Linked DNA regions of Caenorhabditis elegans. The protein of the gene in region 1 interacts with the protein of each later gene in a pairwise test. Each region holds a gene or a part of one and is shown on either strand. Other genes may lie near its edges. The genes, in order: mms-19 and pgk-1.

Evidence for each region.
Region 2: the proteins of mms-19 (region 1) and pgk-1 interact in a two-hybrid assay, tested with the Caenorhabditis elegans proteins (2 studies listed by BioGRID).

What each region holds. Positions count from the first base shown.
Region 1 is NC_003283.11:5,506,167-5,524,914, forward strand, and holds mms-19 (MMS19 nucleotide excision repair protein), read left to right. Parts: upstream 1-8,181; coding exon 8,182-8,291; intron 8,292-8,341; coding exon 8,342-8,445; intron 8,446-8,492; coding exon 8,493-8,640; intron 8,641-8,703; coding exon 8,704-8,789; intron 8,790-8,836; coding exon 8,837-9,024; intron 9,025-9,366; coding exon 9,367-9,528; intron 9,529-9,773; coding exon 9,774-9,990; intron 9,991-10,034; coding exon 10,035-10,181; intron 10,182-10,229; coding exon 10,230-10,438; intron 10,439-11,089; coding exon 11,090-11,282; intron 11,283-11,332; coding exon 11,333-11,547; intron 11,548-12,192; coding exon 12,193-12,369; intron 12,370-12,420; coding exon 12,421-12,542; intron 12,543-12,615; coding exon 12,616-12,952; intron 12,953-13,676; coding exon 13,677-13,844; intron 13,845-13,897; coding exon 13,898-14,061; intron 14,062-14,114; coding exon 14,115-14,136; 3' UTR 14,137-14,292; downstream 14,293-18,748. Other genes in the region: Nuclear hormone receptor family member nhr-47, read left to right, coding at 450-628, 678-827, 1,523-1,651, 1,702-2,009, 2,054-2,237, 2,286-2,374, 3,154-3,439, 3,493-3,669; hpo-15 (Amine oxidase domain-containing protein), read right to left, coding at 3,869-4,043, 4,093-4,877, 5,381-5,618, 5,850-6,006, 6,056-6,224, 6,276-6,335; hir-1 (receptor protein-tyrosine kinase), read left to right, coding at 17,588-17,710, 18,605-18,676, 18,733-18,748.
Region 2 is NC_003279.8:3,856,551-3,871,342, forward strand, and holds pgk-1 (putative phosphoglycerate kinase), read left to right. Parts: upstream 1-10,990; 5' UTR 10,991-11,001; coding exon 11,002-11,145; intron 11,146-11,200; coding exon 11,201-11,325; intron 11,326-11,371; coding exon 11,372-11,696; intron 11,697-11,747; coding exon 11,748-12,407; 3' UTR 12,408-12,559; downstream 12,560-14,792. Other genes in the region: tfbm-1 (Dimethyladenosine transferase 1, mitochondrial), read right to left, coding at 395-576, 1,416-1,603, 1,783-1,929, 2,620-2,742; guk-1 (guanylate kinase), read right to left, coding at 3,134-3,249, 3,316-3,539, 3,602-3,740, 3,917-4,033, 5,948-6,002; hcp-4 (HoloCentric chromosome binding Protein), read right to left, coding at 6,385-6,707, 6,758-6,907, 6,953-7,512, 7,565-8,550, 8,603-8,725, 8,775-8,981, 9,031-9,237, 9,343-9,387; coq-4 (Ubiquinone biosynthesis protein coq-4, mitochondrial), read left to right, coding at 12,671-12,966, 13,021-13,107, 13,152-13,304, 13,355-13,514.

The DNA.
Region 1 (18,748 bases):
ATAAAAATATATGCGCCTTTAAAGAGTACTGTAGCTTTAAACTTTGCTGATGAATTTTTATCAATTTTTCTCCGATTTTCTATGAAAAATATAATTTTGCAATTGGTAAAAATATTAAAAACACATAAATTTGTGAGAAAAACTATTCAAAATCAATGAAAATTCCACAATAGCGAGTTCAAACTACAGTACTCTTCAAAGGCGCACACCTTTTCGCATTGATCAAAAAACTGTCGCGTCGAGACCAGGGTCACCGTATTTTTGAGTTTAAATAAGGAGAACAATTTTTTAAGAGCCGTTAATTAAGAGGCTCTAGATAAAATTACAAATTTTGAAAACCAATTTTGAAATTTTTCCAGTTTCTCATCAATCTAGAAGTTACAAAATTTCATAGAACAATATACAATTATATTTCAATTTAATTTTTTTTAAAATCTGAATCTATTCAGCAATTCAAAACGACCGTGATAGAATTGGATACACAAAACGAAAAAGAAGACATGATGACAATGATATGGAAGGAGGTGTTCATCATTCAGAACATATCAGAGATGGATCTTCAGGAAGTCCACAAATGAATGATGAGAGCCCCGAGAGTATGGATATGAAGGATATTAAAATTGATTTGGTAACTTTTAAATAGAAATTTCCAAAAACAATGCAATGCATAATTTCAGAATTGTCTGGATCCAATTGCTGATAGGCTTACAACGTTGGAAAATAACTTCACACTACTTTTGAGTAGATGCGCCGATTTGCATTCCTATGCAACGTTAGAAGATGCTCTCAATGCTCCAAGTCGATTTATGCAACCTATTTCTTGTGAAGTGAGTTGAAGAAATGATTTATAAAGTAGCGTCAATAGATGTTTGGTATTGTTTATGTGCATTAAAATAGTTTCTTTTAATTTTGAAAGTCGACCAAAAAATTTCAAATGTTTCTGAAAATTTTGGCATTTTACCAAAACTTGACTGAAAATTTCAAAAAATCCAGAAAATTTGGTCATATTGGTCTATTATAAATGAATTAAATTCAGAACCCCAATGGTCATATACTGTTAAAAATTTGCATAAGTATTTAAATTTTTGTAATATGAAAAATGTATAAAATCACGTCTAACAGCTTGAGCTAAAAATTTTAAAATTTTCATGAAATCTACTATTATAAAAATAAGACTGAACGAATGATTGGGATTTTTTCAAAATTGGAAAATTCACTTTTTTTGGTACAAAAATACGCCGAAGTTTATTAAAATTTACTTTTTAATTTTAGTTCCAAATTCGATTTATTTTAAAACTTTACAAAAAATTATTTTCCCAATTTTTTGGAATTCGTCAATCAAAAAAATTCCAATTTTATGTTTAAAATATATTTAAAATATTCATCTTCCAACATTGTAGATGCTCAAATATGCGACAGTGCATTAGATTTCTTGAAAAGTGCCGCAAACTTAGTTTTCACCGCTTTCTGACTTTTTTTAGATCTATTTCCAAATTTCCACAATACTTACAACTTATTTCAGTGGTCAGACAATGTAGTTCTCACAAATCGAGATGATAAATTGCCATTCTGGAGGCAACGTTTGATAGCTCTATACATAGATTGGGCGAAGACATTTTCCACTTTTAGATCCCTACCGTACGCTGACAAAGTAAGTATCTAAACATTCTCCTCTACCTCTTCCATCATCCACTTTTTCAGGTTGCCATGGTAACTAATCATGCATCTTCTTTCATGATCATGTGTGAAGCTTTCCGCACTCCAGAGCACATGAAATCGGATGTTGTTCGTAAGAGACCGGATCTTCCAAATATCGTGACATCAAACTCCGGATCCGGATGTAGCAGGGTTTCATCGGTGGCTGGAAGCTTAGTGAGCAATGGGGAAGATGTACACGATGATTTGACAAACTTGCTTCATGCGGCATGTATCCAGCAGTCTATCAACAAAGGGATCATGTTTGGAGAGAATTCTTCTGATGATAAAATACTTTTGAATCTTCCAATTCGGTATAGATATTCAAACCCATAAGTCTCAATTTATATTTTTTCAGAGAAATAAAGAAAGAACCACTAGAAGTTCCATCGACAGAAGGAATGATTCAACTTCCAACTGAATATGGCAACCTTCCAGCAGACTATGCTTCGTGGATCCCTCAAGATTACGGTCATCCAACAGCTGGACACGAAGGAAAATCAGATATGCACAATTTCTTTGAAGCTCGAGACTTTTGTGTGGTAAAATTTTTTTTTTTCAAGTACATAAAGTTAATTTTTCTTAAACAGGGTCGTCCATCCTCCTGCAACTTGAATGAACGATCTATGAAAACTGTTTCAATGTTGGAATCGAGAAACTTTCAGTCTCCAAGTGCAAAGTGGGTTCTTTATTTTTTTGAAAAACAATCTAGTTTGAAATTTATAAAATAATGAAACACAAAACCGTAATCTATAGAGCCATTTTTGCAAAAGTCAACCTAAAATTGTGTCTATGATTTTTACATTTAAATTATGTTTCAAATATTCACCTTAGAACATTCTAACTTACCAAAAGCTTAGCTGTCACTTTTGAAAGCTTTCAAAATTTTTAAAGTGTTTTATTGTGATATTCAGTCATGATAAATGTGTATTTAGACTATATTCTTATAGTTGATGTATCTGACGTTACCAAGGAATTATGAGAAAAATCGGTGGCAGGCTTAATGTGCCTAGTAGACGCCTAGGCATTTTGTTAATTTTGGAAGGTATGGTCAGTGGGGACCTAGTCTAATTACACTTATTATATATAGTCCAACATGACAAAATACCTTAATTAAACAATTTAAAAACGATCTTAGATTTTTCTCAATTTTAAGTTTTGGGTTTATGTTTTGTTCAACTTTTGGCAAATTGCCAAATTTCAACAATGTACAGCTTAGAGCTTTTGTGCAATTTCGAGAATTGATGCAAGTTCGGACCTCCAGAGTGTTATGTACAATCAATACAAAATTAAAGTATAAAACTCGAAGAAAAAAATTATTTTTGGTCGACTTCCAAAATTACAACACTTTGACTGTAAATTAAAATTTTTCAGAGGTAAGAGATGAAAATGTAGTTTCAAACTATTGCCCTACTGACGATATTCCATGTTTAACTTCAATTAAATTTTGATTTTCAGCAATTCGAGTCTTTCTGGAATAACACCAGTCCTCACAATGATGATCGATCTTGTAATGAAACCATTCCGCCAGTTGAACTTCTCCACGACAGAATTCGCTCTACTTCAAGCAATCATGTTCTTCGATCCAGACACCGAAGGACTCGATTCGGCATCACAAAGAAATGTTGTAGCAGAACAGAAGAAACTACTTGCAGTGCTCTTTCGTCATTTGCAAAAGGCTTATAATCCGCAAGCGGCAAGCGAGAGATACGCTTCAATTATTCTTCGAATGCCATCGATTCGGGTACGCGTTGAACTTTCGATCTGTCTGATTAAAAAATTCTATAAATATTTCAGAGAGCCGCTGCAAAAAAGAATGAATCATTGCAAGTGCTGGATATGCTTCAAATGCATGAAATTAATTCTCTAGTGAAGGAAACATCGCTCGGTCCGAGACCTTCAAATGTTCAACAACGAATGGGAATTGGTGGTGGTGCAGGAGGATGTCTCACGTTTCCATCTCAAGAGGATTGAGGATTGAGGATTAACTTCAAATCATTGAATCTACATATTTTTTGATCTCATTAATATCATACTCAGGATTCCATCAGTATAAATTGCCTAGATAAAACCAAATAAAGAATGTTTATTGATACTCAACGTTATTAGAAAATATCGAAAATTTAATAAAAAAACTGAGTTAAATCCTCAAGGTATCTGATTAATCTTATTTTTAAATAGAAGTTATTGGTTGTGAAATGATTGGGATGTTTCTCTGATCATTGATCAATGTTTCATCCACTACTTCCAATTTTGTGGTCTGATTCCATCTTCCAAACCAGTCATTGACAGCTCGATCAGCTTCTCTGCGACCACTCAAATAACCTCCGATGGTTGTTTGGAATAGTCTGAAATTGATTGTTTAGACTTTTTTCTCTTATCTCTGAAATAGTATACCTGTGATGAGTTGCTTCACCGGCAAACAGAACCTTTGGTCTTCCTTCCAGTTTCACTGGAATCGCAAGTTGAGAGTGAGAAATATGGGAGAGCGCTTGCACTTGAGTCATGTAGGAATAGGATCCTAGAAGCAACTCGTTCTTGGTCAGCTGAGTTCTGATAATCTTGCTAGGCTCGGGAATACTTTTGTCGTTGTACATGTCTCGCATCAGTTTTGTAATTCTTTGCTTCAACTCTTCCTCCGACATGTTATCCACCAACTGATGACCTCTACCAGCATACCATGCACTCAGAACGTTCGGAGCCCAGTCGACAACTTGAAGGATCGTAGTCTCATCTTCAAATGCATCCAGTTTATCTCTAATCATTCCCTTAACAGGGAGAGGAGCGATGGAGTAGGTGTTGTTCGACCAAAATGGAGTTTCCCATTCGAAGAACACCTTGCAAGATCCTCCGAATCCGATTTTCTCGATGGCTTCAATTTTCTGTCGTGGCAAGGGTGGTGTGAACATTTTATGATGATATTTCTTGAGAACTCCTAACGAAGAAGTCACAATAATATAGTCATATTCCGTTGGAACTGCACGATCGGAAACTGTCAATTTGATTTTTCCAGTGTTTGAATCCAGATTGATATTTTCAACTCGACTATTGAAATTGAATGCCTTTCTTGGAATCGGTGCGGCAATATCGTCCAAAATCGCTTTGAATCCAATTTTGTTAGTGGCAAATGATTCACATTCCGGTCCATAGTCATTCCACTCTTTTAGAACGTGAACACTCAGCTGGAATAGACAATTTTCAAAAAATTTCAAAAATTCAAAAATTGTCCCAATCACCTGCCAGTATATTACGGAAACGTAGAAACGCGTCTTTTGAAATCAGGATGCAACCGCGCTCCACGACTAAATTAAAATGCTCCGCCCAAAAAGGTTGGGTCTCGTTAAGGATTGGCTCAATTCAAAAGCCTTCAATTGCTTTCGCCAATTTCTCCAAGCATTTTCCGGTTTTGATGTCTTAAATTATTTTGATGTCGAAATTTTTGTCGAAAAAATTAAAATTAAAAACCTTATTCACATTTAAACTTCAAATGCATTTCATTTTTAAAACATAATTTCGAGCCCAAAAAGTTATCAAAAACGATGAAGAACCTAACCAAAAAAACGGAAATATACTTTAAAACTTTCTGACTATAAGTTCACGAGTTTGCTACCTAACGAGACCCAACGTTTGAAAGGCGGAACGTTTTTTCTGCGTCCCCATAATTGATATTCAAGTAATCACTTACAGTACTCCAATCAGCCGCCCACTCGAATTCCCAATACGATCTGAATGATCTTGCCAGCGAATCAAAGACATTTGTCTGTTGATCCGTAAAATTCTGGCTCTTCAAGAAATGCATGTAATCCAAAGTGAAGATTTCTTTGAAAGTGTAGCGTCTTGCAGTCTTCTCATCATGTTTTGCGATGCTTCTGTATTTTGGATCAAGCTTCGAAGTAAAGTCCAAGAATGTCTTGATGTCTTTTCTGAATGATATTTGTTGAAATTATATTATAGTCTCTAGAATCGTTAATTTTTTATAGGTCACAGAAATTTGTGTGCATAAACGGGGTTATTTAGAAATAGTCTTTAATCTATAAGCGTTATCTCTGAATTTTATTTCCGACCGACTGTAATGATCAACTGATTCACTAAAATTAACATACAGGTGGCAGAGTCACGAGTACTACAAAACAAACAAATGAATAATAACTCACTCCTGAACATTTTGATTTCCAAAAGCAAAGTGTGCATTGTCGACATGTGCAGTGTCAGATACCACATCGGCCAGAAGTCCAAGACGGTTGGCAATTTTGTACAACGGGTTTTGTGCTCCATTTATAAATTGGGCTCCCATTTGTAGAAATCCATCCTCTGCAAATTTTCAATTTTGAGGATTAAGATTACAGTATTGAGCACTTACTGTACGGTATGGCATGAATTCTGCCTCCGATCCGGTCGAGACCTTCGTAGATATCAAAATCGTCAATTCCAAGTTCAATCAGTCGACGCGCGGTCGATAGTCCGGAAATACCGGCGCCGACGATTGCTATAGACGGTTTTATCGACGAGTCCCCCTTTTCTGATTCTTTCTGAAAAAATGAATAATTGATTAGTCAGCTTCTATAAACTGTCTAGTTTACCTGAACCGTTATTCCACAACCAATGATTACAATCAGAACAATTCGTACGCTTACAGACATTGTGAGCGTATGGTTGTAAGTATCCGAAAGCCAAATGAACTGCCAGTTTCTGCGAAGTCAATGGTGCTTTTCAATTGAGAGCACCAGTTTCACAAGCGTCTGAGACAATATTAATTTTATTTTTTTTTGCTGGAAGAAGAGGAAAATGGGGGTGGTTTATCAATATACAACAATGTGCCCGCCTTCTCATATGAGAACTGAATGACATCAATATGATAGTTGCAAACATCTTGTGAGAGTTATGAGTTCATTTGTTCAAAGACTAAGTGTGATTGAAGACTAACTGATAGCAAAATTGGATGTGGGTGATAAGGGAAGGTACTGTAGAGCCTATATGGGTATTTTCTAGATCACCGAATTGGTGGCAATTGCCGGAAGTATAAATTGGAAAAATTGGTAGACTGTTCTTGCGAAATATTGATTTTTCAGGCACTAAACTTTTGAAATAGGGCCTTGCGGGACATGCTTATTTTAGTAGGATTATCCAAAAATTTCATTTTAAAAATTAATATTAATCAAAAAAATTAATAAAAATGTAGGAAAATACTCGTTTAATCTGAAAATCGTATTCATTGTTATTGATTAATTTGAAATTTCCTCAATTAATGTCTGGAAGTTGCAGTTCGCGTGAGTAAAGAAGAATTTCAGACATTATTTTAGGTAATTTTTTGAAATTTGATAATAATTTTTTAAAAATCTGATTAAAGATAACAGAATTTTCATGAAATATTTAAGCAGTTTTTTTTCAAATATTTGCCTAACAAATTACCCGGTCTTAACACGACAAATTTTTGTTAAATGCCGAAAGGTGTGCGCCTTTGAAGATTACTGTAGTATCAACAGTACTTTTTTGGCTTCTTCGAAAATTTCATTGATTTTTTTATAGATCTCCGATAAAAATACATCAATTAATCAACAGAAAAAAAAATTTTGTAAAAAACTTGAAAAAATTAAAGCTCAAAAATTATAGTACTATTCTAGCTTAGGTCTCGACACGACAAATTTTTGTTAAATACCAAAATTTGTTTGTTTATCGTGACATGACAGTTTTCGAATGAATTTATTTGTATTGAACAACTAAAAAAATCGACAAAAAATCCTGCAACAAAGAGAGATGGAAATTACAGTACTCTTTAAATGGGCATTATTTTTTCGCATGTACCTACAATTTATCGTGGCGAGACCGGCAATCGTATTGAAGAAATTTTGTTTTAAAAATTTCCCAATAGAGTGATGATAAAATGTTGCTACTTACATCCAAAAAGAAAGAAGTTGTGCAATTGCAAGTGAGAGTGAAGACGGAGCCAAGTTGATAGGGTTATCACAATTAACCGGCAAATGTGGGAGTGCTTGTCTTTGACAAACTGTATGTCCGAAGGTCACGAGAATCTTATTCAATTATAGTGTGTCTAGGTTGGAAATATTGATAGTTTTTGGGGATTTATGTAAATTTAAAATTTGTGTTCAATTTTTCTCATTTGATTTTAAAACAGGAGTTCACAATATCTCAATGAGAAATAAACTGACTAAAGGAAAATTACTGTTTTTAGAAAATAAATGTTTTTCTCTTTTTATTTTCAACTAAAAATATAGTAAAAGTAGTAAATTTGGTTTATAAAACTGCATTTCGTTAATTTCTGTGCCTGAAAAATTATTTTCGTGGCAAGACCCGCCAGTCAGCGTTAGGTATGCGCCTTTAAGTTATACTGTAGCGTTTATATTCAATTTTTCTCATTTTCAATCGATTCGCAACTTAATTCTTCGATAACGAAGCACCTTTCCTTCTTTGAAACTTAATTTTTTATATTATTAAAATTTTCAGCGAGTAATTGAATTATTTTTACAGATGGGATCAGAAATTGACCAAAACGATACAGATTCATCGACGCAGGAATGGTATCGCCTGCTCGTTGTTGAAAAATCAACTACTCTTTCTGATTTTATGACTTCTAAAAGGTTTTAGAGTTCAATTTTAAAATTATTTAACTGAAAAAATGGCTTTTCAGAACAAAAATGGTGTCGGATTTTCCAGAAGAAAGAGAAGAAGCGATTGAAGAAATAATTGAAGTTATCAGCACGTTTCCGATGGATTTTCTACAAAAAGATGAAGGTTTAATTATTTTTAATTTTATTTGACATAATACTTTAAATTTTCAGTATCGCTGCTTCTGAATTACTTTATAAATTCAATCGAATCGTCTGCGCTAACTGGCGGAGCCGTGATCCGCGGAGTTCATCACCTAATTTTGAAATCTAAAAATCTTCCGGATAATTTTGAAGTCTCACTTATTCGAGTTTTATTTAAGTGGGTTTTTTTCTTCAGAAACTATTTTTCAAATGTAATAATAATTTTATTTTTATTTTGCAGAGAAGGAAATGTTCAAAGTTGGGCACAAAAGGAACGGCAGCTGCAGTATGAGATTCTCATTTGGTTCTTGAAATATCGATTATCATGTAATATTCAAATTTCTAACTATTTATATGTTTATATTCTGTTTCAGTCTTGAAAGGCCTCGGCCCAGATTTTTTGGCTACATTTATGAAAAGTGTATCCGGAGAGCGTGATCCGAGATGTCTCGTCCACATGTTCTCGGCATTCCTGGAAGTTTCGAACAATTTCACACTCGGACCATTCACAGAAGACATGTTTGAGACGATAGCCTGCTATTTTCCAGTCGAGTTTAAGCCGGTAAACTAGAAAACGATGGAACATCCTGAATGGGGGATTTACTTCCAAAATAGTCTTGCATTCTGGAAAAAAAAAACGAAAAAATCCAACTTTTAAAACGCGATTGTTCAATTTTCGCAAAATTCCCTCCAAAATGATTTTTAAAAAATTGGATTTTGGAGGGGAATTAGCCAAAATTGATATATAAATCACGGTTTTTAATGTAGGGATTTTTATTTTTTTTTCACTATTTTTTCTTATTTCTTTGACGGTTTTTCTGAATGTTTATTTACCTAATTTCAGACTAAATTTTTCAAAAAAATTTAAGCCTAATTTCACAATTTCAATATCCTATTTTTCCAGCAAAAAACGGATACAATTACACGAGAATATCTCGCTGCTTCGTGTGCTTCATGTCTCGTATCATCCCCATCCTTCGCTCCATTCTGTTTTCTTTTCATCGACGAAAAGCTGAATGACGATGACTGTTCCGATGAAGAATACGAAGATGTTCTGAACCTTTTGGTATGATCATAATTCCTTCCAGGAGCTCGCGGCAATTCTACAGACTTTATAATATGTTTTATTTCAGTTGAAACATTTGAGAAAGTTCTCAAAGAATAGAAAATTGCAGGAAAAATACTATTTTTGAGCACTTTTTTTAAAAATTATTTACTCCAACTGGAATAAAATTTATTTTCAGAAAAAGCAAATATTTTTATATACTCTAAATATCACCAATTTTGATTTTAAAAAATTCATATTTTCAGATCCTAGCTTACAACCGCTTTCCAGCACAGAAGAAGAACCTATCACTTATTGAGCCACTAATCGGAGGAATTCGAAAAATTGGACTAAACCCGAAGAATAAGGGAGAAATGCAGAAATATGTTTCGCAGGCATTTGAAGCGGTTATCAAACTGTGCACAAAATCTTCTGAAACGAATTCGAAAGCGTTGGATGGAATTGTTAGTTCGATTGTTGAAGGTGAATTTTTTTGTCAATTGTACTGTTTTTTTTTTGAATTTCAGATTCTGAGCCGTTCGTTTTACAAGCAGAAATGGGGCTCTGCAAGAAAGCACTAACACTCCTCCGAAGCGCATTCAAAAGTCTCCCAGACAAGAATTCACGTCAAATTTTCAATCAAGTTATTGCCTGGATTCTCAACCTGATTCAAGGTTGGCATTGAACTATAAACTTCCAAAAAAAATTATATTTTTTTGCAGGCGACAGTGTAAATGCAGCTGGAAACCGAGCAGATATCGTACAAGAAGGTCTTGAATATCTAGTAGAATGGATACAACTCGCTTCAGAATACAAAGAACTCTCAATTGAAACACTCGCGGTTTTTGAGCAAAGCATTTTCGAATCATGCTCTAGAGCTCGGGAATTTAAACCACGTGAAGCTATTACTGCAATCTATGAATGTGCATCTGTATGTTTTTAACTTTTCAAAAAATGTTCATTAAAAGATTAAATGATAGAAAATCGGCAATAATGGCCAAGAACTTCTTTTAAAAAATTTATATAATTTTCTAAATTAATTTTGCTCCAAACTTTGCTAAAAAAAAATCATACATTCTCGGAAACTTCAAAAAAAAGCCTGCAAATCGATTTTTTAAATTTTATTCACAGTTTTTCAGCAAATTTTTTGAAAAATTGAAAAACGCTGTTTAAAATTATTGTTCTGAATCAAATAAAAACCATTGAATTTAGCCAGAAAACGCGCGAATTTCGAAACTCAATACAGTTTTTGTTTGCAAAATAAAAAATTGTAAATAGATAATTGTTTTGCAGCACCGTTTTCCGAAAAAAAAATTGTTTTCAATATTTTTTCAAAAAAGGCTTTAAAAATTAACAAACGGTGTTTCAAATTAAAAAAAGAAGACAAAATTAAAAATCAAAAAAATCATATTAATTTTCGAACAAAAACGCCGAAATGCTGAAATTTTTTTCAGTATTCACTTTTGTTATGACAAATTTGAAAAAAAAATTTAAAAGTTTAATAATTTTTTTTCAGTTATATTCTATCGTTTTGGTTCCTATTTTTTCTCTATTCCACCTTAAAAATTGAATATTCTTTCAGGTTTACTTTGAATCGGATTGCGCCTCCGATGAATTAATATCCCAATGCCGAAGCTATATCGCACTTGCTCTTCGTACACCAATTGACACTGATTCAGATTTTCAAAGTCTTTTGAAACTTATCAGAATATACTCTTCAAAAAATTTCGATCAAGTTGAGATTATTCTCGCTGACAATGAAACTAATTCTTGGAGTGAGTTGGCTTTTTTATTTTATAAAAATTTGGCATTGAAAAATTTCCAGACGCAATGAAAGTTCTACCAGTTCTATGTGCAATTAGCTGCTCACAAAGATGGAATTTATTGAAAAATAAGATTGTCGATGAACTTGGATCTACAATATCATCGTCTACAGAAATCAGTTATCTAATTTGTTATGTGCAAATGATGGAAAAATGCAAAAAAGATCCTCAATTGTTCCACCAACAATTTGAAGTTTTTGAATCAGTCTTGTACAAAGTAAGCCAGATGCAAAATTTTGCAATTATTGCAGCAAAAGTACGGTACCCGGTCTGTCTTCGAAAAAAAATTATATTTTTCTTCAGGGAAAATCTAAAAAGTGAAAAACAAAAATTTTCGATTTTCCGGAAAATCAAAAAATGGAAAAAAAAAATTCAGAAAATTTACCATAAAACTCAATTTTTTGTCAAGTTTTGTATATGCTGATGAGAAGAAACATAGGAAAAAAACAAACAAAACATTTCAATTTTTGATTTTTAAAAAATTGATTTTTCTATTTTGCGGAAAATCGAAAAAAATCGTATATTTAATACAAACATAAAATTTTATTTTTCCCCCTTTTTTTCCAGAAGAAATCGAAAAATCTATTCAATGGCAGTTTGTATAAAAAGAAGAAAAATTACCAAATTTTTTTTGCAAAATTTTGCGCGATTTTTTTTCGAAAAATCAAATTTTTATTCGAAATCTCGGACAAACTAAAAAAAAACAAAAATTTTAGATTAAAAAAAAAATCTAAAAACGACAAATTTTGATTAAATGCAAAAGGGTGAGGCGCAAACTCTTTTGCACTAAACACAAATTTATCGTGTCGAGACCCACGGCCACCGTATTCTGCATCAAACTGTAATAAGCATTATAATTCAGACCGATTGCAATGAACCTGTGAGCGTTTCATATCTGATGCAATCAATTTCCCTGCTACTTTCTGAAGATGATCATCAGAAGTTTATGAATCAAACAACAACCAGATATCAAAGTCTTGAAGGATCATCACTTGACAATTTCAATCAAAAGTATCGACTCGCATATCTCCAAAATAAGGCAATTTAACTGGCTCATGTGAAATAATAAAACAATAGATTCAATTTTCAGAATACAAATGATTTGAAAACTATTGCCAACTTGAAATTGCCAGAACGGACGATACGTCAGCTATTTTTCGCGATTTGCAACAGGGAGGCGGAAAACGAAAATAATAGTGAAATTCCTGAACAGTTGAGATTTTTTTTAATTTTTAAATTAAAAAAAATTAATTTTTAAAAGTATAAATTAAATACACTTTTCCAGACACCATATCGCGGAAATCAAGGCGAAATTATTACGAAATGCACCAAATTCTTTATCTGCATTCGAGCAATTTCTGACAAACATTTCTGGAAGCACTGAAAGCCCTTTTGAATATCTTTTGGATTTTGATAGTTTCGATTCGAATCCTGATAGATGCAGATATGAGACCGCAAGCCCTCTATGGAGACAACGAATTTTCTGTCAAATTGTTCCGATTTTCAAAAGAAAATTCGAGGAGCCTGGATCCCAGAAGCACGTTCTTGTCGAGATGCTACCACATCTTTTGACATTCGCAGTTCCATTGGATTTTCAGCAACTGAAGAAACAATTCGCTATGGTTTGTGTTCGAGAATGACATTATTACCCAAATGCGAAATTTTCCGACTTTTACGCCAAGAATACTGTAACTGGTCTCGACGCGACACATTTTTTGGTTAATACAAAGTGGCATGTGCCTTTGAAGAGTACTGTAGTTCCAAACTCTCGTTGATGCTTCTATGAAAAAACGAAGAAAACTCCGCAGTAACGAGAGTTTGAAATTACAGTACCCCTTGAAGGCGCACACATTTTTTTTCAATTTGTCGTGTCGAGACCGGGTACCGTAGTGGGCTGCAATTGCCGTTCGGCCAATTGTTTGTCGAAAAATTCGACAATTTGCCAATTTGCCGCAAATTTTTCATTTTCGGCAAATTGCCGGTTTGTCGATTTGCCGGAAATTTTCATAATTTTTTGTCGAGAAATTCGACACTTTGCCAGTTTGCCGGAAATTTTCATGATTTTTGTAGACAAATTCGTCAGTTTGCCGATTTGCCGCAAATTTTCGATTCCGGTAAATTGCCGGTTTGCCGAATTGCCGGAAAATTTTTTCAATTCTGAAACTCTGAAATTTCCAAAAAAAAATGTACAAAACCACAATTTGCCGATTTGCCGGAAATTTCAATTCCGGCAATTTTCCGATTTGCCGGAAAAAATCGTTTTCCACCCACCCCTAACCTATACATACTGCAATTCTCCTGTCCAACTAATTGAAAACTACAGTAACCCATCGAAACTTGTTTCAGTTGTTGCCAGTTCTAATTCAAACAATCGGCATGGAAGATGTCATCCCAAGCCACGTCACACGGACTATTCCAATGTTTCTTACAATCTCTGAACCTCTTCAGCCAAAAGATCTCGGAACAGTCGTCAAATATCTGTGCTCCATTACAAGGGACAACGACTCGAATATGGTATTTCTGTGTATTTCAACGTCCGATAATTTGATTTTTTTGTTGCTGTTCAGACCAACTTGGAGGATGCGTTGAATGGATTGAACATTTTGGCGCGACGACAGCCACCGAAGTCATTGCATTCTGAAGTGCCACTTGTGGTCACGTCAATCAACAAAATCTTGGGTCACAAAAAGAGGTTGCTTCGAATGATGGCGGCTGATGTGAAAAACAATTGGTAATGGGTGTTTGAGTCGACCAAAATATGATAAATGTGTTTTTTGTTTTCAGGGAGATGGTTATCACCAAGTAGATGGACGTCGAATCAACTCAATTCCGGGTTATTAACGACAAACTAGATATACTTTTGTTTTGTCCTAAATTGTTTTTTTGTTGTTTTTTTTTTCATTTTCATTGTTCGTCGTATTTTGTATTGAATTTTGCTCGAATTCTATGAATCAGTTTTATTATTCACTACTTCTATTGCTATATAGAATATTCATTAATGTCCTAAAGATTCAAGAATTGAAACATTTTTCAGATCTTGTAGTTAAGTTATCGACTCATTTTGCAAATCTTGAGAAAGGTTTTGAGATTCAAATTGATTTTCCGGGAAAATATCGATTTTCTGACATTAAAAAAAGCGATAATTTGTGAAACCCTAGAGAGCCCAAAAATGTATTACGCATTTGTGAACATTTTTGATTTTTCCCGTTCCCGGTCTCGCCACGATTTCTTTCTAATTTAAATATCGAGGCCTGCGCCTTTAAGTATACTATACATAGTACAGTACCCCATTTCCCGTTTTTTTTTCACCAAAATAATAATTTTGTTGAAAAAAAATTCGATTTTTGCATCGAAAGTACCGACACCCGGTCTCGACACGATAATTTTTTAATTAAAAAAGTGTGCGCCTTTAAAAAAAGTAAAACTGTAGTTTAGAACTTTCGTTTATGCGAAGTTTTCACAATATTTATATATTTTTCAAATAAAAGTGTATTAATTTAATAACGAACTGAATAATTTTAAAAAATCGTGCGGAAAACTATCAAATTTCTGCTGCAACGATAGTTTGAAACTACAGTACTCATTAAAGGCGCACTACTTTTCGAGTTTAGCAAAAATTTGTCGTGCCGAGACCCTTTACCGTATTTTTGGCGCGAAATTTCGCGTCTATGTTATATTTCATTCGTTGAAAGGACGAAAAAAATTGGATAAAAGAATTCATTACTGGGTAATGTAAAAGGCCTATAATTTTTCGATTTATCGATATTTCGAAAAATATCCCTAAGTTTTGGAAATTTTTATTATTCCTAGTTTTGTAGGAATTCCTAGTAAAAGTTTTCTCATGTCTTTTGTAAACATGATAAGCAAATTTTTTTTTAAATCTCGATTATTTCTGGAATAAAAAAAAAATTTCGACAACACCCTGGCGTAGACCTACTTCACATTCCTGCCAACTCAAAAAATAAACCTTAAAAATTCTCAGCTTGAACTGTATTGTTGAAAATAAACTGATTTCCCACACAAAACATTATAATAGAATCACATAATCATGAACATGAATAAATAGGCAAAGAAAAAATATGATTGATGCCCAGCAGTACCCAGGCCGTTATTCTTTCTCACCCCACAAAATACAACAATACCGATTCGAGAACATGCGCGCGCATTGCGATGTGACCGACCGGTTCGATGTTTCCTAACACTGAGTCTTTCGCTCTCTTATAGGTTCTCGCTCTTTTTGCCATTGCGCACAAATCGATTCTTCATTTTTATTTACTGTTCTTTTCACTCTCTGCCTGGGGCTTTCTTTTATGATTAGCGGTTAGGCGAAACTCTCCACTTTTCATCACTTATTGATTGACGTTCACAACTTTTAGATAAAGATCTAGGTTACAATAAATTGTGACTATCTTGAGAATTCTCTACCTACAGTATCCCACGTCTTTCCTAAAATCACTCTGAGCAAAGACCGGAATCCCCCCGATAGCTTCTCCCTCGTCACTCGTGATATGTAGTATTGATAGAAATACGACCTCTACTGACGCCAACTGAACCAGTTATTGACGTCAAATCATCCATGCGATGACTCATCACTCCCCGCCGAATCAGTTGATTATCAAGCAGTAGCACTGTTGTTAGTTGGTGAGGTAGTGTTCATGAAACATTTGGTTGGATTTTAACCTAATAGGTTTTCACTTTCTGAATTTTTTGCTTCGAATTTGTTTCATTTAAACATATCAGTTGCTAACTTGATGACCTAGTTCTCTCTTGATCCAAACTGATGTCCGATTTTTTTTCTTTTTTTTACCTGGACCGCAAATATACAGTTATCTATTATTAAGAAATTTGTCTCAAAGCAGAACAAATTTTTAAAAAAATTGTTTCTACTTTAACGGCTTATATCTCGGTTCACCTTATATTTACTGAAAAGCATTTTAAAGCTAAAATGTAGAGAAATATTTTGCACATATTTTGCCAGTTGGAAATTATTTGGTAAAACCTAAACGAACTTATTGTGATATCCATGAGCTGTCAAAGAAAAACAACTTACAGTATTGAAAAATTCGGTGTTTTTTGGCAATTGGACACCTTTTCCAACTTTGTTTTTGAACAGCTAAAGTATACTTTTTTCGGAAAATTTTAATGAAACATACCCCTAAATCTACCAGCTTTAATTTTTAGTGTCTAGTTTTTAAATTCCCTGCCAAATCGTTTACACACATTTTTAAAAATAAAGTTTCTTACCTATTTTAATTCTAAAAATTCAAGCTTTTGAAAATTACAATATTTCAAAATTTGATCGTCTGACTCTATTTGTGCACTGTTGTTTATTTTACGAACATTTTTATCCTACGTAACTGTAGCCTACAAATAAGTTGAAAAATTTCTTAAACATTGTCTGCTGAATTTACAAATTACCGTATTTTCCCTACTCCGCTTTGGCAGCTTATATTTCGGTTCTCATTGGTTTTCTCAAGAAATTTGCAACTGACAAAGTATGTGAAAAATATTTTTATATACTTTAATAGTTCAGCATTTTTTGATAAAGCCATCGACAACCAAGATATAAACTGTTAAAGTGGAGAAATGAGGGTTCAAGACTAATAGGGAAAATAGAACAGTTGCCTCTAGCTTTTCGGTTTTGCAGATTTTTTAAATTATTCATTTAAAGTATAAATATTGTAACATTTATAGACTTTTGTTAAAAATTGCCTTGAAAAGTTTGAAATTTGCTTGAAAACTTGAACATCTGACACTCTACTTTATTAACACCGCAACCGCCATTCATTTTTAACATAGGCCTCACATCAGTTCGCAAAAGTCAAGTTCAAGTACATTTGTCCACTACCACTTTTTCATAACATATCTGTCTGTATCCATCTCTCCGTCTCTCATATCTCTCTGCTTTCCTGGTATCTAAATCGCATCTGTTTCATCTTTTATTGCATTTCGATCAAGATAAACTGGGTGAATTCGCGCAGAACTGTCCTTTTCCTTCTTCTCTGCCGCCATTTCAGTTATGCCCCTTAATTTCCAATTTTATCAGATTCTTGCGTAACACTTCCCAAAGTCTTCAAAATTTCCTTTTTCTAAAAAGTTGACAAAAAGGTTTCCTGTTGCCCATGCCATTTTTGTATTCAAAAGAGACTGTATCAGCAGTTTTGTTTTGATGGCTGCACTCTTTTGTCAACGTTGCCCTGTCTTTTGTCAAAAAATACCTCAACTTACAGAATCAAACCTATACCTATGCAAATCAAATGAAACTTCGATTTTTTGTATTAATAACCGGACTTTTTTGTATCTCGAACCAGGAATTGGTGTCGAAAGCTGAAGGATGCTTCCTGCGATGTGTTGCACAATGTGTCGCGTTTGTTGAAAAGGTGAGAAACGAATTGTTTAGGTTTCAAAATACAAACGAAACTGAATTGCACTTTTTGTGAATAAGATTTTTTAACTGTGGGGTAAAATCTGTGGAGTTTCAGCCCCAAATTACAGAAACTGTCTCAATGAAGGGTGTTGCTTTTCCGTTTTTTTTTTCAGGAAAATTGAAAGACTGAAAATTATTTACTTTTTTGCAAAAAAAAAATGTCTTAACATTTGCCACAATTTGCCATAATCAAATCAAATATCAACAAAAATTAAGAAAAAATGATAAATTTAGCAGGGAAATGTCAAAACTAAGTCATTCATTTGAGCGGAAATTCAAAAATAATTTGGGCCTTTCGAATTTTTTCAGCAAAATTAAAAAATATATAAATACTTTAAAAAAATTAACTATTAGAAAAATACAGTTTTTGAGATTTTTTCTGTTATTTAGGGCAATATTCTCACAAAAAACGTCGGTACCAAAATTTCTACCTTCCGCCTGCCCCGTGCCTAAAAATACGCCTGAACAGATCTTCGTTTCACTACACATTTTGTTTGATTTAATTTGAAAAATCGAAATATTGCAAAGCTTGGCAATTTACAAACAATACTGTAGTTCAATTTCTGAATTCTGCAGTTATTCTTTTTTTGCAAAAGGTAGTCTGTATGTCTACAAAAACGTCTACCACCTGCAAGACACCACAAATTGATTCTAGGACAAGGAATACACGGAGTAACTCGAGCCAAAGTAAAAATATTGACTTTGCTGAAACACTATGACGTCAGAAGTATAGCAACAAATATTCCGGACACTTTGTTTTTACTGTGGAAATTTAAAATTCTTTGTAGCTGGGGAAATTTGTGTTGTTTTGAAAAAAATTATCTGAAACTGTTTTAAATGTTTTCAGAGCGATTCTACACAACAGTCTTTAGATGCTTGCAAACCACAATGCCAGAAACTTAATAACAAAAACTTATGTGTAAGTTTATTCATTATAATCTTCAATATTCTCCCTATATATGTATTCCATTTCAGTCAGACAATACTTGCT
Region 2 (14,792 bases), on another chromosome or scaffold:
AGATAACCTGCAGCCGACAAAAAACAATGTAGCGTTGGCATGCGAACTGTTGCAATAAAAGTCGTTATTTAATTTTCCGCGCATGTTTAATGTCGCCGACGCGACATCAATTTTTGCCGGCTGCCGTGTAATGACATAATGCTTCTAATTATTGGGAATTTCAAGTTCTCAAGGCGGTGAGGGGCATTTTGCAGACGAGAACTTCTCATCGACTGCTAAAACTCCGCTGTAACTCCGCTCTAACTCCGCTGCCCTACTACCTATAAATTTTGGAAAAGGATACCGAAAGGGGTCCAGAAAGTTGTGTTTAAGGGTCATAGGAAAACTAAAATTTTCGCGACGACGCTCCTAAATTTGAATTTTCTTGGATTGAAATTTGAGCAAAAAAACTTACCGGAAATCTGAAAAACCATCTTAGGCTCTGCCACGTATTGAGACATAATAGAGATACGAGACCGAGTATCACAGGCGATCGGAGAGCACAGACGTTTGGCGACTTCCAGTTGAAAAGTTAATGTTAGTGGAACTCGACCGTACTGCCAAACTCCTCGTCGGTATGACATGTCACGGAGATACCTAGAAATGGTTGATACATCACGGAAAATTCTGTATCACGTACAGGGCCGGGAGTTTTTAGGCTTTTTTTTTGGTATTTTGACCAAAACTGTTTTTTTTTGTTGGTATTTTTTGGTATTTTCTAGACCAAAAAAAAGGGTTCTAAAATAAAAGCATGCAATGCTAAATATTTTTTTTGCTTGAAAATCTGGAACTATAAAAATATAAGTTTGCAGGCTTGAATTCCCACCAGGGTTGGGACTTTTTTCGGTTTTTTTACCAAAAAAACCAAAAAAAAAAACCCAACAAATTTTTTTACTTTTTCACTGTTTTTTTTTTGAAAAAAAAATTCAAGCATCAAATTTTTTTTGGTGTTTTTTGGTTTTTCGCAAATTTTAATTTTTGTTTTTTTTTTTGCTGGTATTTTGACGAAAAAAAATTTTTTTTTATTTTTCTAGACCACAAAAAGATCTCAAACATTTTTTCACTTTTTCAGGATTGTTTTTAAATAAATTCGAGCATCAAAATTATTTTTTTGGATTTTTTTTGGTATTTCGCAAATTTCAATTTTTTTTATTATTTTTTGGTACCTGGGCTTTTGTTATTTGTTTTTCTGGGGTTTTGTTTAAAGAAACATGGCTTTTTTGGTTTTTTGGGGCCAATAAACACAAAAGTCAACAAAAATTCTTCGGTTCTAATATTTTTTGAAAATTATCCGTTTTGTCCCGTTTAAAATTAAATGATTTTTTGTTTGGTTTTTTGTTGATAAATTGGATTTTTTGTTTTTTATCCAAATTTTAAGCAAACATTTTTATTTATTTATTTATTTTCTAATTTCTACACATCTTTTCAGATCTTACTTAATAATAAGCGGTGAAGCAATATTAAATGGTAAATTCCCAATGACATGCATTGCAGGTAGATTTGAATCATGCCAATCCACAGATTCGGGTCTCGCGGTTTCATTTTTCCAAATATCTCCAATTTCCGTTCGAAGTGCATCCTGATGATGGATGAACATTCGAGAATCGGCTGCTTCCGCGAGATGCTGAAATTCGATTTTTCATTTTTTTTTTTCCATTTTCCCTCAAAATAAACTAATTTCGAAATTCTCCGAGAACATTTTTCCGGTAAAACGCTCCGTCATCATGATTTTGATTCCTTATCAGTTCACACACACACACTTTGCCCTTTGATAATAATTTATAATTTCCAAAAATGACAAACCTGTAACGGCGGAATAAATCTATTATCGATTTCTACGACGTCAAGCCTCGAGGCTCCAGCTTCAAGAATTGCTCGTGTAATTCCGCCAGGACCCGGTCCGATCTCGATTACCCAGTCTTTTTCGATCACTTTTGCGTGTTTTGCTATCTGAAAATTAATGAATTATAGAAGATTTTTATATTTGATTCTTTGAAATTTTCAAAAATTGCGATGGGAATTAAAATTCGAAATGTTGGAAAAAATTTCTAAAAGTTAAAAAAAATTAATTGAAAAAATAGGACTTAAAATTTGAATTTTTTAAAAATTTTTTAATGTTGTTTAGTTGCAAAAATGGGACTTAAAATTTGAATTTTCAAAAAAAATTTAAAAATTTTTAAAGACTACAGTATTTTTCTTGTTTATCTAAATACATTTTCACTTACTAATTATAATTTTTCAAGAAAAAATGTTGAAACTACCACACTTTTTAAAGGAGCACGCTCTGTTTCAACTAAAATTACCGTACAAACTCTGAGAATGCGTATTGCACAACATATTTGACGCGCAAAATATCTCGTAGCGAAAATTTAGTTAAATGACTACTGTAGCGCTAGTGCCGATTTACGGGCTCGATTTTCAAAAAAAATTTTTTTTTTAATTGTCGAGCCCGCTACAGTAGTCATTTAAAGAATTACTGTATCTTTCGCTACGAGATATTTTGCGCGTCAAATATGCTGTGTAGTACGCATTTTCAGAATTTTGAGTTCCCGTAATATTTTTGATTTAAAAACCGGAAAATTTTTAATTTTTAAATTAATTTTTTGGAATTTTGCAAATAAAAAATTTCAGAAATCCAACCTTTCTTGTGATATTCATATCCATTAAATAATTCTGCGAAAGAATTTTCTTCGCTCTCAACCTGTACATATGGATGAAATCTCGTAGTGCCGGGAGCGGCGGGAGACGTGAAGCAGAAGCCATCTATGAAAATAGTTCAGATTTTTTTCTCTAAAAAAATCCGAATTCTCACTGAAAATAGTATCTGCCATTTGGAACAGTTTTTTAAAAACCAAAATTATTGTATTCAATACGTATTAATACGAAATCAAATAATTATTATGAAATGAATGAGACAAAAAGAAAATAACTTGAGAAGTTGACTAAAGAAGACAAAACTGAATTGCAAAAAAAAAGGAGGGAGCAATAAATAAAAAAAGGGAACAAAGTTTGTTGGAATAAAGCAAATTTGAAAGAGGTGTATTGAAAGAGAGAGATAAAGAGTACCTACCACAACCAGAAGACACTCAAGTTCATCAAGACAGAAAAAATTGGAGGAATGACTGAATAGAGACAATTTTTAAAAAATAATTTATTATTTTTTGGAGGTTTTTTCGAGATCATCACGAAGAAGATCGACGAATTCCTTATAGGCACGTTCCAAATCATCGTTCACAATCACTTTGTCGAAGAGCGTTGGATTTTTTTCGACTGAAAACAAATTAAATTAAAATTTATATTACTTTTCTTTTTTCAAAAAAGGCAAAAAACGCTCACTTTCAACTAAATCCTCAGATGCATGTTGAAGACGCTTCGAGAGGCTCTCCTCGGTTTCGGTTCCTCTTGCTCTGAGTCTTTCCTCGAGAAGCTTGATGGATGGGGCACGGATCAGAATGTATCTGGCGTCGAGATGACTATTCTTGATGTTTCGAACTCCTTGCAACTCAATATCCAGAACGCAGATCTTTCCGCTATTTTCGATTTCTAGGACGGTTTTCTTGCTGTAAAAATAAAAATAAATTTTTTTGTTCTGTTCCAAAAATATTCGATTCCAAAAACCAACCTAGTTCCATAAGTATTTCCGCTAAACGTGGCGAACTCCAGAAACTCGTTATTTTTAATCATTTCCTGCATCTTCTCCTTTTCCGTGAAGTAATAGTGTTTTCCGTGCTCCTCACCGGCTCTTGGCTGTCTCGTTGTGTCTGTAAAACTATTTAATTTTTTTGGAAATACACAAAATGTGCCCAGACAAACGAATTTTATACCGGAACTTTACAAAAATTACTCAAAAATTTTTTATGGTGATTAAAAATTTAAGATTTGAGCAAAAATGAGGTTTTTTCTCGAAATTTGGAATCAAATTTTGCCAAAAACTCACGAGAAACGCTGAAAGCAAAGCTATTTGGGTATTCCTGCATGGCTCTCGTCAAAATCGTACTTTTTCCTCCACCCGATGGTCCGGAGAGCACAATCGGCCGGCACGGCATTTTTCGAACTGAAACGAAATCGAATTATTTTTTTTTTAATCGAGAAGTTTTCTTTTCTGAATGTACCGAAACTGTTGAATATGACAGATGTTAGCTTCATGGCGGCACGAAAATTTTGTTGTTAAAAATGAACAAAGTGTTAGTAGAGAATCGAGAAAGACTCGACGCGCAAAAAAAATAACGTGACACAACACAAAAAGTTTATTATTTTCAACCAGCGGCGCTATGGAGTGACAGCAGAGCGCGTTTGAGCGAAATTTAAAAGAGAGAAAGCTTTTGGCCTAAAATTGTTTTACTTGCGGCGGGAAAATTCAAACATTTTGAAGTGGGGAATTGATGGAAAGGAAAATTTGATTTTGTTGGTTTCGCTATTACACAGCTGCAAAAATACGGTACCCGGTCTCGACACGACAAATTTTAATAAAATGCGAAGAGTTGTGCATCTTTAAAGTGTACTGTAATTTCAAATTTTTGTTGCTGCGGAATCGAGATTTTTATTTAAGTGTTTTTAATGATATTCTTAGTTTTAAATATATTTTTAAAGAAAAACTACGGCAATTGCAATTTAGATTGATGAAAAATCCGCAGTAACGTAAGTTTGAGATTACAGTACTCTTTAAAGGCGCACACCTGTTTGCAGTTACTAAAAATTTGTTTTTTCATGAGAAAAAAACCGCAAAATTATTTATTCAAGAGCGGAGATCACTTTAAAAATGGCTGGAAAATGAGTTATTTGTAGATAAGTTGAGAAAAAGCGTTTTCTCAATTTTATACCACATATATCTCACAAATCTGCTCTCAAAACGCTCAAAATGTTCATTTTTTTTTGTTAAATTAAATTCCAAAGCAGAAGATAAAAGCTTTTGTTATCAATTTGATATCTACTGGAGAAGAATTGGAAAATTGTGCAAACAATATCCATCACAATCAAAGTGAATGTGTGTGTGTGTGGGCGAGAACTGAGGAGGAAGGGAAAGCCTCGACAACCACGTTGCGCATACATTCTCGCCACGTCGCCTTTGCCTCGTTGTCTCCGCACTCTTTTCCTTCACAGTCCGTGCTTCCGCTTTGGCAAGGCGAATGGTCCCGGAAAACATTGGAGAGAACGGAGAGACGCAGGAAAAAAACGGGAATATTATCAGTGTCACAGCGGTTTTTAGGGCCATGAACTGTCGTTTTTTGTTACCTTCTCGGCTCCGATTACGTCGTTGCTTTTTGGCATGATGAAGAAGAAATAGGGTGTACATAGGCGAAATTTCAACAGAAAATGGAAAAAAAACACTCGAAAACTGATTCCTAATCCTGATTTTCAATCCGCGTCACGAGAACGGATTAGACTATGGTGAGCAAATTACACATAGATCTCGGAGAGAAAAAAACTCACAATAATCCTGAATATAAGTCATTTTCAATGAATTTTGTTCACAAATTAGGGAGGAATTGTGCCGCTTTTCTTCACTCTATACCAAAATTGATGACACACTAAAATGTTGCAATTTGTGGATGACCTTATCAGCAGCGTGTGCATTAGGTTATCATGTGAGTGCCAACAAAAGAGGACATATATGTATAGCGAAAACAGATGCGGGTAAAAAAAGATATTTCTGAACGAAAACCTAAAAAAAGTGATGGTAGTCTTTTTTGTGAATTGAAAATTGATTTAAAACGATTTTCAATTAAAAAATCGAAAATAAAACTATAAAATTCGCTAAAAACCAAGTAATTTCATTTAAAAATCCGAGGAAAACGAGGAAGAATTCTCAGAAGACTACCATAAACTTTTTTGCGCGCCGAGACCCATCTGAATAAATCCGTGCGCCTTTAAGAAGAATCTTAGAATACATGGAAAAATCTTGTAAAGTGACAACATTTCAAAACGAAAAGCTGATTTTTTTCTGGAAAAGCGCGCAAAAAAGACTTACTAAACGATTGACAGGACGGCCGCCAAAACCAGGCGACACGGGAGGTGGCGTGCATGAATACCTCAACGGGCCGTCGCTTATTTATACCCCTCGCCTCTTCGTAAATATCCAAATCTTATATATCCGGTATATATCACGCTTATGACGACGACTTAGTGATAAATATGTGTATGTGTGTGTGTGGCTCAGCCGGATATACAACCCATTAGAGCAAATTGAAAATCGCTAATCTGAATTTTTGCTAGGCATATGGAGGATGTCGCGCAAATTAAAGAAAAATAAATAAAATTTATTGGAACAATTCACCAGATATAAACTAAACATAAAAAAGGATTGACAGATTCAAACTTTATTCCCTTTAAAATTGCATTATTTACAGGTATTGGGATTAGATGGGTTTTTTGACATTGCTAAATAGTGGAGCAATAGTTATTTCTTCACATATCATCTTCTTCATCGTCGTCACTATCGTGACGTCGCCCACTTCTTGCATTCTGTCTTTGTTGCTTCTTTTCCTGCGCCAAAGCCCTTTTGTTGGCCTTATCTTTCAGCTCTCGCTCGGTTGCTGTTCTGACGTCAGCAGTTCTGTAATAGCACAAACGCGGATCCTTGATGACAACGGCCGTCACACCAGTCAATCGCTTGCAGCCACTAATCGGCGAATTGACATAAACCGGTTGTTCTCCAAGCCACGAACGAACAGGCTTCACGCGGACACGCGTCGATCTTCGGACACCGTCTGGAGCATCTTCTGGCTTCACTGAAAATGTTTAAAGTTTCGAATGATTGCATTAATTAATTAAAACTCACTGAGTTGATGCTCTTTCAGTTTCATACCCCTGTGTGTTCTCGGACGTCTGTTTCCTTTAGAATTCGGTTCAGGATACCATGTTTCGTCAACGAATGTGTCGTTTGGGCGTCTTCTCGACGAACTAGCAAGACCAAGAGCAATCGAATCACCTGAAATTGTTTTAAAAACGTTGTTATTTGTGAAGTAACACTCACTAAGAAGCCCGAGTCTTCTAGACGACTTTTTCCTTGGATCTGGACGTGCTTCCATTTCTTCTTCGTCAGAAGAAGATCTCATTTCATTTGTATCGTCCTCTGGAAAATCAATGGCACTGATATCATGTGCAGGCTCTTCGTTGACAGTCAGCGCATTCAATTCGATGTTCAGGGAGCGATTGCTTGAATCTGCTGCCTCATCCTCACCATCGACAATCACACCACCATTTTCAGATCTTTTTTCAATGACCTCCGTCGCCTGATCCTCCTCATCATCCTCCAAAACCATGCGAACAGCGGCTGAAGAAGTTGTAGCAGTAGTCTTCGCAGGCGTATTCTTTCGTGAAGTTTCCTCAAGCAAACGATTAGCATCTTTCATATTCATCCTTTTGACGAGTGAAGCGAAAGTAGGCTGTTCATATCGTCGTGCCGGGGTCACTCGATTCACAGAATCAACGATATCCATCCTAGTCGGTGTTGAGAGCAGTGCAGCCCGAGCACATTCGACATTGTTGGTGGGTCCAATATTACGGATAGAATTATCCGTGTGCCGAATCGATCTGGAAAATGGAGAAATAAGAATAATATTCCGCAATTCGAAAAAAAACATACTTTGGAGTTGCGGCTTTCGATACATGCATTGGCTCCACTTTTTCTGGAACTTCTGGAACCGGCGAAACTCGAGATGCATTGAATGTTGGAGAGATATAAGACGAGCCAATAGAATCCGCTTCCATTGTTCGTTCTTCAGCTACCGATTCCATCTCAATCGTTCGCTCCTTATTCGATTCAGTACTAAGTCTGCTGGTTGCCTTGATTCGTGGCGGCGTTTGAACCACCGGTCTGATCTTTTTTCGGGGATGTTTGAAGAAGTTGGCTCCCGGCGATTGAATTTCTTCCTTTTCGAGCATACTGTTGTGAAGAGGATTAGAAATACTGGCATTACGTCGTTCTCGCTCATCCGAAGTGACTTTCGACGTTCTCCGTTTTTCTCCTCCTTCCATCGTGTTTTGTGCCAGTACTGGAGGCTTCACACCAACACTCGTGGTTCCTTGCTCGTATGCATCTCTTTCTTCAATAATAAACGTCTTTTGAAGAGTTGAATCGTTATTTTCATCTCTGTTAGCTACGTTGAAAGTTCTTTGAAGTGATGACTCATCTTTCTCGGTCGGCTTTGTGAACGTTTTCTGTAGAGAGGAGTGTTCTGCATCTTTAGCCACTGTGACCGTTCCCTGCATTTCCGAGCTCTGATTCTTCTCGATCGTCACCGTTTTCTGAAGTTCTTCAGGAGCATCTTTAGCCACCGTGAAGTTTCCTTGCAGCTGAGAGCTTTGATTCTTCTCGATCGTTACCGTTCTTTGAAGCTGTGATTGCTCTTTTGATGCATCTTTAGCCACCGTAAACGTTCTTTGCATTTCCGAGCTCTGATTCTTCTCGATTGTCACCGTTTTCTGAAGTTCTTCAGGAGCATCTTCAGCCACAGTGAAGGTTTTTTGCAGCTGAGAGCTGTGATTCTTCTCAATCGTGAGAGTTTTCTGGAGTGTTGACTCTCTCTCCTCGAGAATGGTTGGGATAACGACAGACTTGGTGTGAACAGTCTGAAACGATATAAAAGTTAGTTTAAATATCTTTAAAACAAACAAATTTTACCACTCTTTCAGCATCTAGTCGATCGGTATTGACGACATGTGAAATATCAAGCGATCTCAAGGACCTCATCGACGTATCACTCGAGCTCTTGGGAGTTGAACAACTTAATCCAGCTTTTCCACTCTGAAATTATAGATTTATTAAACTATGAACACGCAAATTCATCTCATACCCCTCTGGAATTAGCAATTGGCGAGCCCATCATCGACTTTTCACTGATGTGTTTCGGAAGCGCCGGAATGGCAAAAACCGAAGCGCTTCGGACATTTTGATTCACAGTGTTCTCGCTGTCGCTCTCACATTCGGAGTATTCACGACAAGCAATCAACTCTTTGAAGGTTTTCGCTCCGTACATTTCCTTTTCGAGACGTTTTCTGGCCTGAATATAGTTTATTAGGTGTTGAAAAGATTTTGTGACTGAAATTTACATTGTTAAGCTGTGTTTGTTTCCTTTTCTCCAAAATAGCGAACATCTGCTTCTCAGATAGTCCCTGTTTTCTCCATTCTCGCTCCTCCAAATTTGCACTATCATTCATCATCGATTCATCGACGATAACTGTTGGTTCCTCCAAGTACGACGGTCTTGTATCGTCCAAGCCAGCCTCACGAAGAGCAACGATTTCAGTGATCATTTTCTGAAATAAACAAAATAAGTAAGCAATCAAATTACCATAATGTGGAACTTTTTTTTTGTAAAAATCAAACATTTGTTAAGAATTTTAAAAATCTGAATCACTTACTCGACCAGGAACAATCGTACTGCGGGTTCGCGGTTTTCGATTCATTCTGCAATTTGATATCGTTTTGAAAAAAAGACAATTTTAAGAGGTGAATAAATATAAGCAAACTTCTCGATGTCAAATGGGAGCTAAATTTGAAAGTGGCGGTTTTGCATTGTACAACGGAGCGCGTTTGGTTAGAGGGGGAAGGCTACGAGAAGAGGATAGAGGAAACGTATTTATTGTTTTCTTTTCGCATTCAAAAGGCAAGAAGGTATTATGAGCCAAATATTGATTGATTTTAAGGGAGAAAGACACAGACTTTGTATAAAATAATAGCCGAACCAAGTCAAACGCAGTTTTGAAGAGAGGCCAATCGATACGCTTTGGTGAAATAAAGAAAAATGAATAATACTTCATCGAGATCTATTTATGCTTGTTTTCACGAATTTCAACAAGGCCTCCACGTCCCTAACAGTAGAAAATACTAAACGCAGAATTTATTAGTAGTTTTCTAAATAAAATTCGTGCAATATTAGTTGAGCGGTAGCTCTTTAAAGTACATATTGATTTCAACCAAGTTCTTCGAAAGTTATTTCAAGCGCGTTTTCATTTTTTTTTCTAATGATCCGCAAGAAAATAAAATTTTAAAACGAAAAGAGAAAAATAGAATAAAATCAAAGCCTAAAAATCAGACTCTAAAAATGATTTTTCCCGCCTGTCGGTATCAAGTGTACGGTATTCGTGGTGAGACCCGCGCCCCCGCGCAAAAAATTTTGAACTTTTGCGGAGATGTTTGCACAGACAGCATTTAACTTAACGCAATTTTGCATGCTTTCTATACTTTCGAACATTTATTGAGACCCGAAGAACTCGGGGGATGTCCAATTGGGGGGATTACCAACTCGGGGGATTGGCCTCACCCACAGAACCGTGGTTTGCAATACGCCCATTTCTGCAAATGCCGCACGGTTTTAAAACTGTATTTTTCTCAATAGAGCGAGAATTAACAAGAAAAAATAATTTTAAAACCGTGCGGCAGTTGCAGAAATGGGCGTATTGCAAGCCACGGTTCTGTGGGCGGGACCAATCCCCTGGTAATCCCCCCAATTGGACATCCCCCGAGTTCTTCGGGTCTCCATTTATTTTTTGTTTTTGCCTTTTTGTCTTACAATTTTGAAGGTTTCCCTTCATCGATTTCATCCAAAATTGAGAAAAAATGTTTACAAAATGTATTATTTTCATTTCTTCCAATTTTCTAATTCAGATTTTCCCTAAAACATTTGTGATTCTTGATTTTTTACTTTTATCTATATGAGTGACGTTGTTTTGACAGCATATTTGATCAAATTTCTAGAAATGGTTTGTTTTATCACTACTGTTCATGCCTTCTTAATTTCAAATGATCTTCAAACATTTATATTTGTGTTTTCGGTTATTCTTCATGTGTTTTTTATTTGATTCGTTTCAACCCATCCAAATGCGCGGTCTCTCGCTCGATCTCTCGTCTCTCTGCGTTTCCAGTGTAAAAGAGAAAGGCGAGCAACAACTTCTATCATTTCTCACGTCGCTCGTCAAAATAGTTGTCTTGTTTGTTTCTCAATTTTAACATTCTCTCCTGTTTTGACCATCTTTGAAATTTTTGAAAATCAATATCAAACAATTTCAGCATTCAGAAAAATGAGCTCCCTCAACAAGTTGGCTATCGACCAGTTGAACCTCGCCGGAAAGCGAGTTTTGATCCGTGTTGACTTCAATGTCCCACTCAAGGATGGCAAAATCACCAACAATCAACGTATTGCTGCCGCTGTTCCAACCATTCAGGTAATCAATTCAAATTTATTTCAAACAACATTTTCAATAATATTCAAAATTTCAGCATGCTCTTAGCAACGGAGCCAAATCTGTCGTTTTAATGTCACATTTGGGACGTCCAGATGGCAGACGCCAAGACAAGTACACCTTGAAACCAGTTGCTGAAGAGTTGAAGGCTCTCTTGAAAAAGTTTGTTGTATAATCTGATTTTAAAAAAATTACAAATGATTTTCAGAGATGTTCTCTTCCTCGACGACTGTGTCGGATCAGAAGTGGAGGCTGCATGCGCCGATCCAGCTCCTGGATCAGTCATTCTCCTTGAAAATCTTCGTTATCATCTGGAAGAGGAGGGCAAAGGAGTCGATGCATCCGGTGCCAAGGTTAAGGCTGATTCAGCAGCCGTAAAGAAATTCCGCGAGTCTCTCACCAAGCTTGGCGATATTTATGTCAATGATGCTTTCGGAACCGCTCACAGAGCCCATAGCTCCATGGTTGGAGTCGAGCACTCACAACGTGCAAGTGGATTCTTGCTCAAGAACGAGCTCTCCTACTTTAGCAAGGTAATTTTTTCCTCCAATTTTTCATATTGAATTTTATTATTAAATTTTCAGGCCCTCGACAACCCAGCTCGTCCATTCCTGGCCATCCTTGGAGGAGCTAAGGTCGCTGACAAGATTCAGTTGATCAAGAACTTGTTAGACAAGGTTAATGAGATGATCATCGGCGGAGGAATGGCCTATACCTTCTTGAAAGTTGCCCAGGGAGTCAAGATCGGAAACTCTTTGTACGACGAAGAAGGAGCGAAAATTGTGAACGAGCTTCTTGAGGCTGCCAAGGCAAAGGGAGTTCAAATCCATCTCCCAGTGGATTTCGTCATTGCTGACAAGTTCGCCGAGGACGCAACCTCGAAGACCGTCACCGCCGAGGAAGGTGTTCCAGATGGCCACATGGGACTTGATGTTGGGCCGGAATCTTCTAAGATCTTCGCCGCTGCCATTCAACGCGCCAAAACGATTGTCTGGAACGGTCCAGCAGGAGTATTCGAGTTTGATAAATTCGCCACAGGCACCAAGTCATTGATGGATGAAGTTGTCAAGGCCACCGCTGCCGGAGCCATCACAATCATTGGAGGAGGTGACACTGCGACCGCCGCCAAGAAGTATAACACGGAAGATAAGGTGTCTCACGTCTCAACTGGAGGTGGAGCCAGTTTGGAATTGCTCGAAGGAAAAGTTCTGCCAGGAGTTGATGCTCTTTCGCCAGCTCAATAATTTTCTAATTTCTATTGTTTATTCCTTGCCCAATAGTGTATTTGTATTTATTCTTTCTCTCTCTAAAAACTTTCCCACATTAGTCTTGAATTGTTCCCAGTGATTTCACAATCTTCCATGTAACATGAAGTATAAATAAAGTGTATAACTATAGAATAAATTAAGAGTTCACTTAATCGTAGAGTTTTTTAATCGTAGAGTTCCGTATATCTACCAATACATTATAGTCATTTTCCAATTGAAAAAAAAAGAAAAGAAATCAGATGTCTGCTCAAAAGCTATACGCATCGCATGTTCCCTTGGCACCGCTGTCTCGGATGCTTCTCGGGATTGGATCAGCAGTAACAGCGATCTCGGATCCAAAAAGAGGAGATATGGTGGCAGCGATGGGCGAAACTACTGCAATTGGACCAGTTTTAGAAAATATTCGAAAAAGAATGGAATCTGATGTTGTTGGAAAGCGACTTCTTCTCGAAAAACCAAGAATTTCAAATGGAACAATTGATAGAAAGTGGCTAAGACAGTTACCGGATGGAACATTAGGAAAATTGTATTCAAAGTATGTGAAAGTATATTAAACAACAAAAAAAAATTGAAAAACTTCAATTTTCAGCTTTCTCGATCGTTTGAACACATCTCCAGATGCTCGGCCCACTGTCAAGTATATCGATAATTTGGAGCATCTTTATGTTATGCAAAGGTTTTAAAAATCGACGTAAATAACAAAAAAATTCAAAATTTCAGGTATCGCGAAACACACGACTTCACCCACATCGCATTGGAGCAGAAAACGAACATGCTCGGCGAGGTAACAGTCAAATATTTCGAAGGAATTCAATATGGGCTTCCAATGTGTGTCACTGGTGGAATATTTGGAGGTGCCAGGCTTTTAACAAAGTAAGCAGAAAGAGAGACGAAACCATGAAAATAAAATTTAAAAATTCTAGAAATCGCCAAGAACTTGTCGACCGGAACCTCCCTTGGGTTGTGGAGCAGGCCACGAATGCACGATTCTTCATGGCTTTCGACTGGGAAAATCACTTTGAAAAGCAGCTCAGCGAGGTGCAGAAGGAGCTAAATATAACGCCATTATCTGTGAATATGTGATATAGATTTGATCTTGAATTTCTCAGTGATAATGAAAAAATGAATTAATTAATTTTTTTGGACCGGACATTAAATTTGAAAAATTTGGACCATTTAACAGTTACGGTATTACGATAACACTTAAATTCTGAGAATGCGTATTGCACAAAATATTTGACGAGCAAAATACTATCAAAATTTATGAATCGATCCTTCGATTTTGCAAAAATCGAAGGATCGATTCATAAATTTTGATAGTATCCCGTAGCGAAAACTACAGTAATTCTTAAAACTACTACTGTATCGCTTGTGTCGATTTTCGAAATGGATTTAAATATCGATAGAATACTAGAATTAAGCAAATATTAAGAAAATAATACGAAGCAACGCATTTTTTAATTTCGAAAATATTTCTAAATCGATACAAGCGCTACAGTAGTCATTTAAAGAATTACTGTAGTTTTCGCTACGGGATACTTTGCGTGTCAAATATGCTGCGGAATACGCATTCTCAGAATTTTGTGTTTACCGTAATACCAAAACGTTCTGCGACTGGCAGTTTAGTCAATTTCTTTGGATTTTGATAATTGTGTGATTTGTGAGAAAGGATTTATTGTACATGAAACTGAAAAAATGGAAAGAAACCGGTAATAGAGGCAAACGGGCAAGTTTTGGATGAGGAACGACGGGGGAATTGTGGAAAAATAAGCGAACTTCTCAATTATCGAATTTCAGGAGCTTCTGGACCTCCCGGAAATGGAACCGGATGTCCCTGATATTCTCTTCAGTAAAGGACATCCGGGATTTTGGAGAGTCCTCCAGGCGGTTGATATGATGATTTAAAGTAGCAACTTTCCTAAAATTATATTATAACATTGATTAGGAGGTGGCTTGTACAACTTACTGTTTTAGCACGTGTCTCAGCTTCTGCCGCATTCTCTTCAACTCTTTGGCCGATTGTCCAGTTGGGTTGCCATTGGGTGCCGTTGGGCGCTGGGGGTGAGTGGGAGCCACCCAGCAGTGGCAGAGGATGGTATTGTCAATTGTTTGGACTTTCCAGATGATGAGGGCCGTCGCGCCTAGCCAGGCTAAAAAAATATCTTGAGTGAGGAAAAAATTGATAGAAAATATACCACTTCACTCCAGGCTCATTGAAACGCCAGAGACGGGTAGGAGCACGCGAGAATAATGGCCGCATTTGACCGTGTCGACTTGGTGGTTTGATCTACCTAGATTTACGAGAATTGCGGGAATTTAGTCGCTCTCAACTGATTTCGCATGGTTAAGGACGTGCTGACG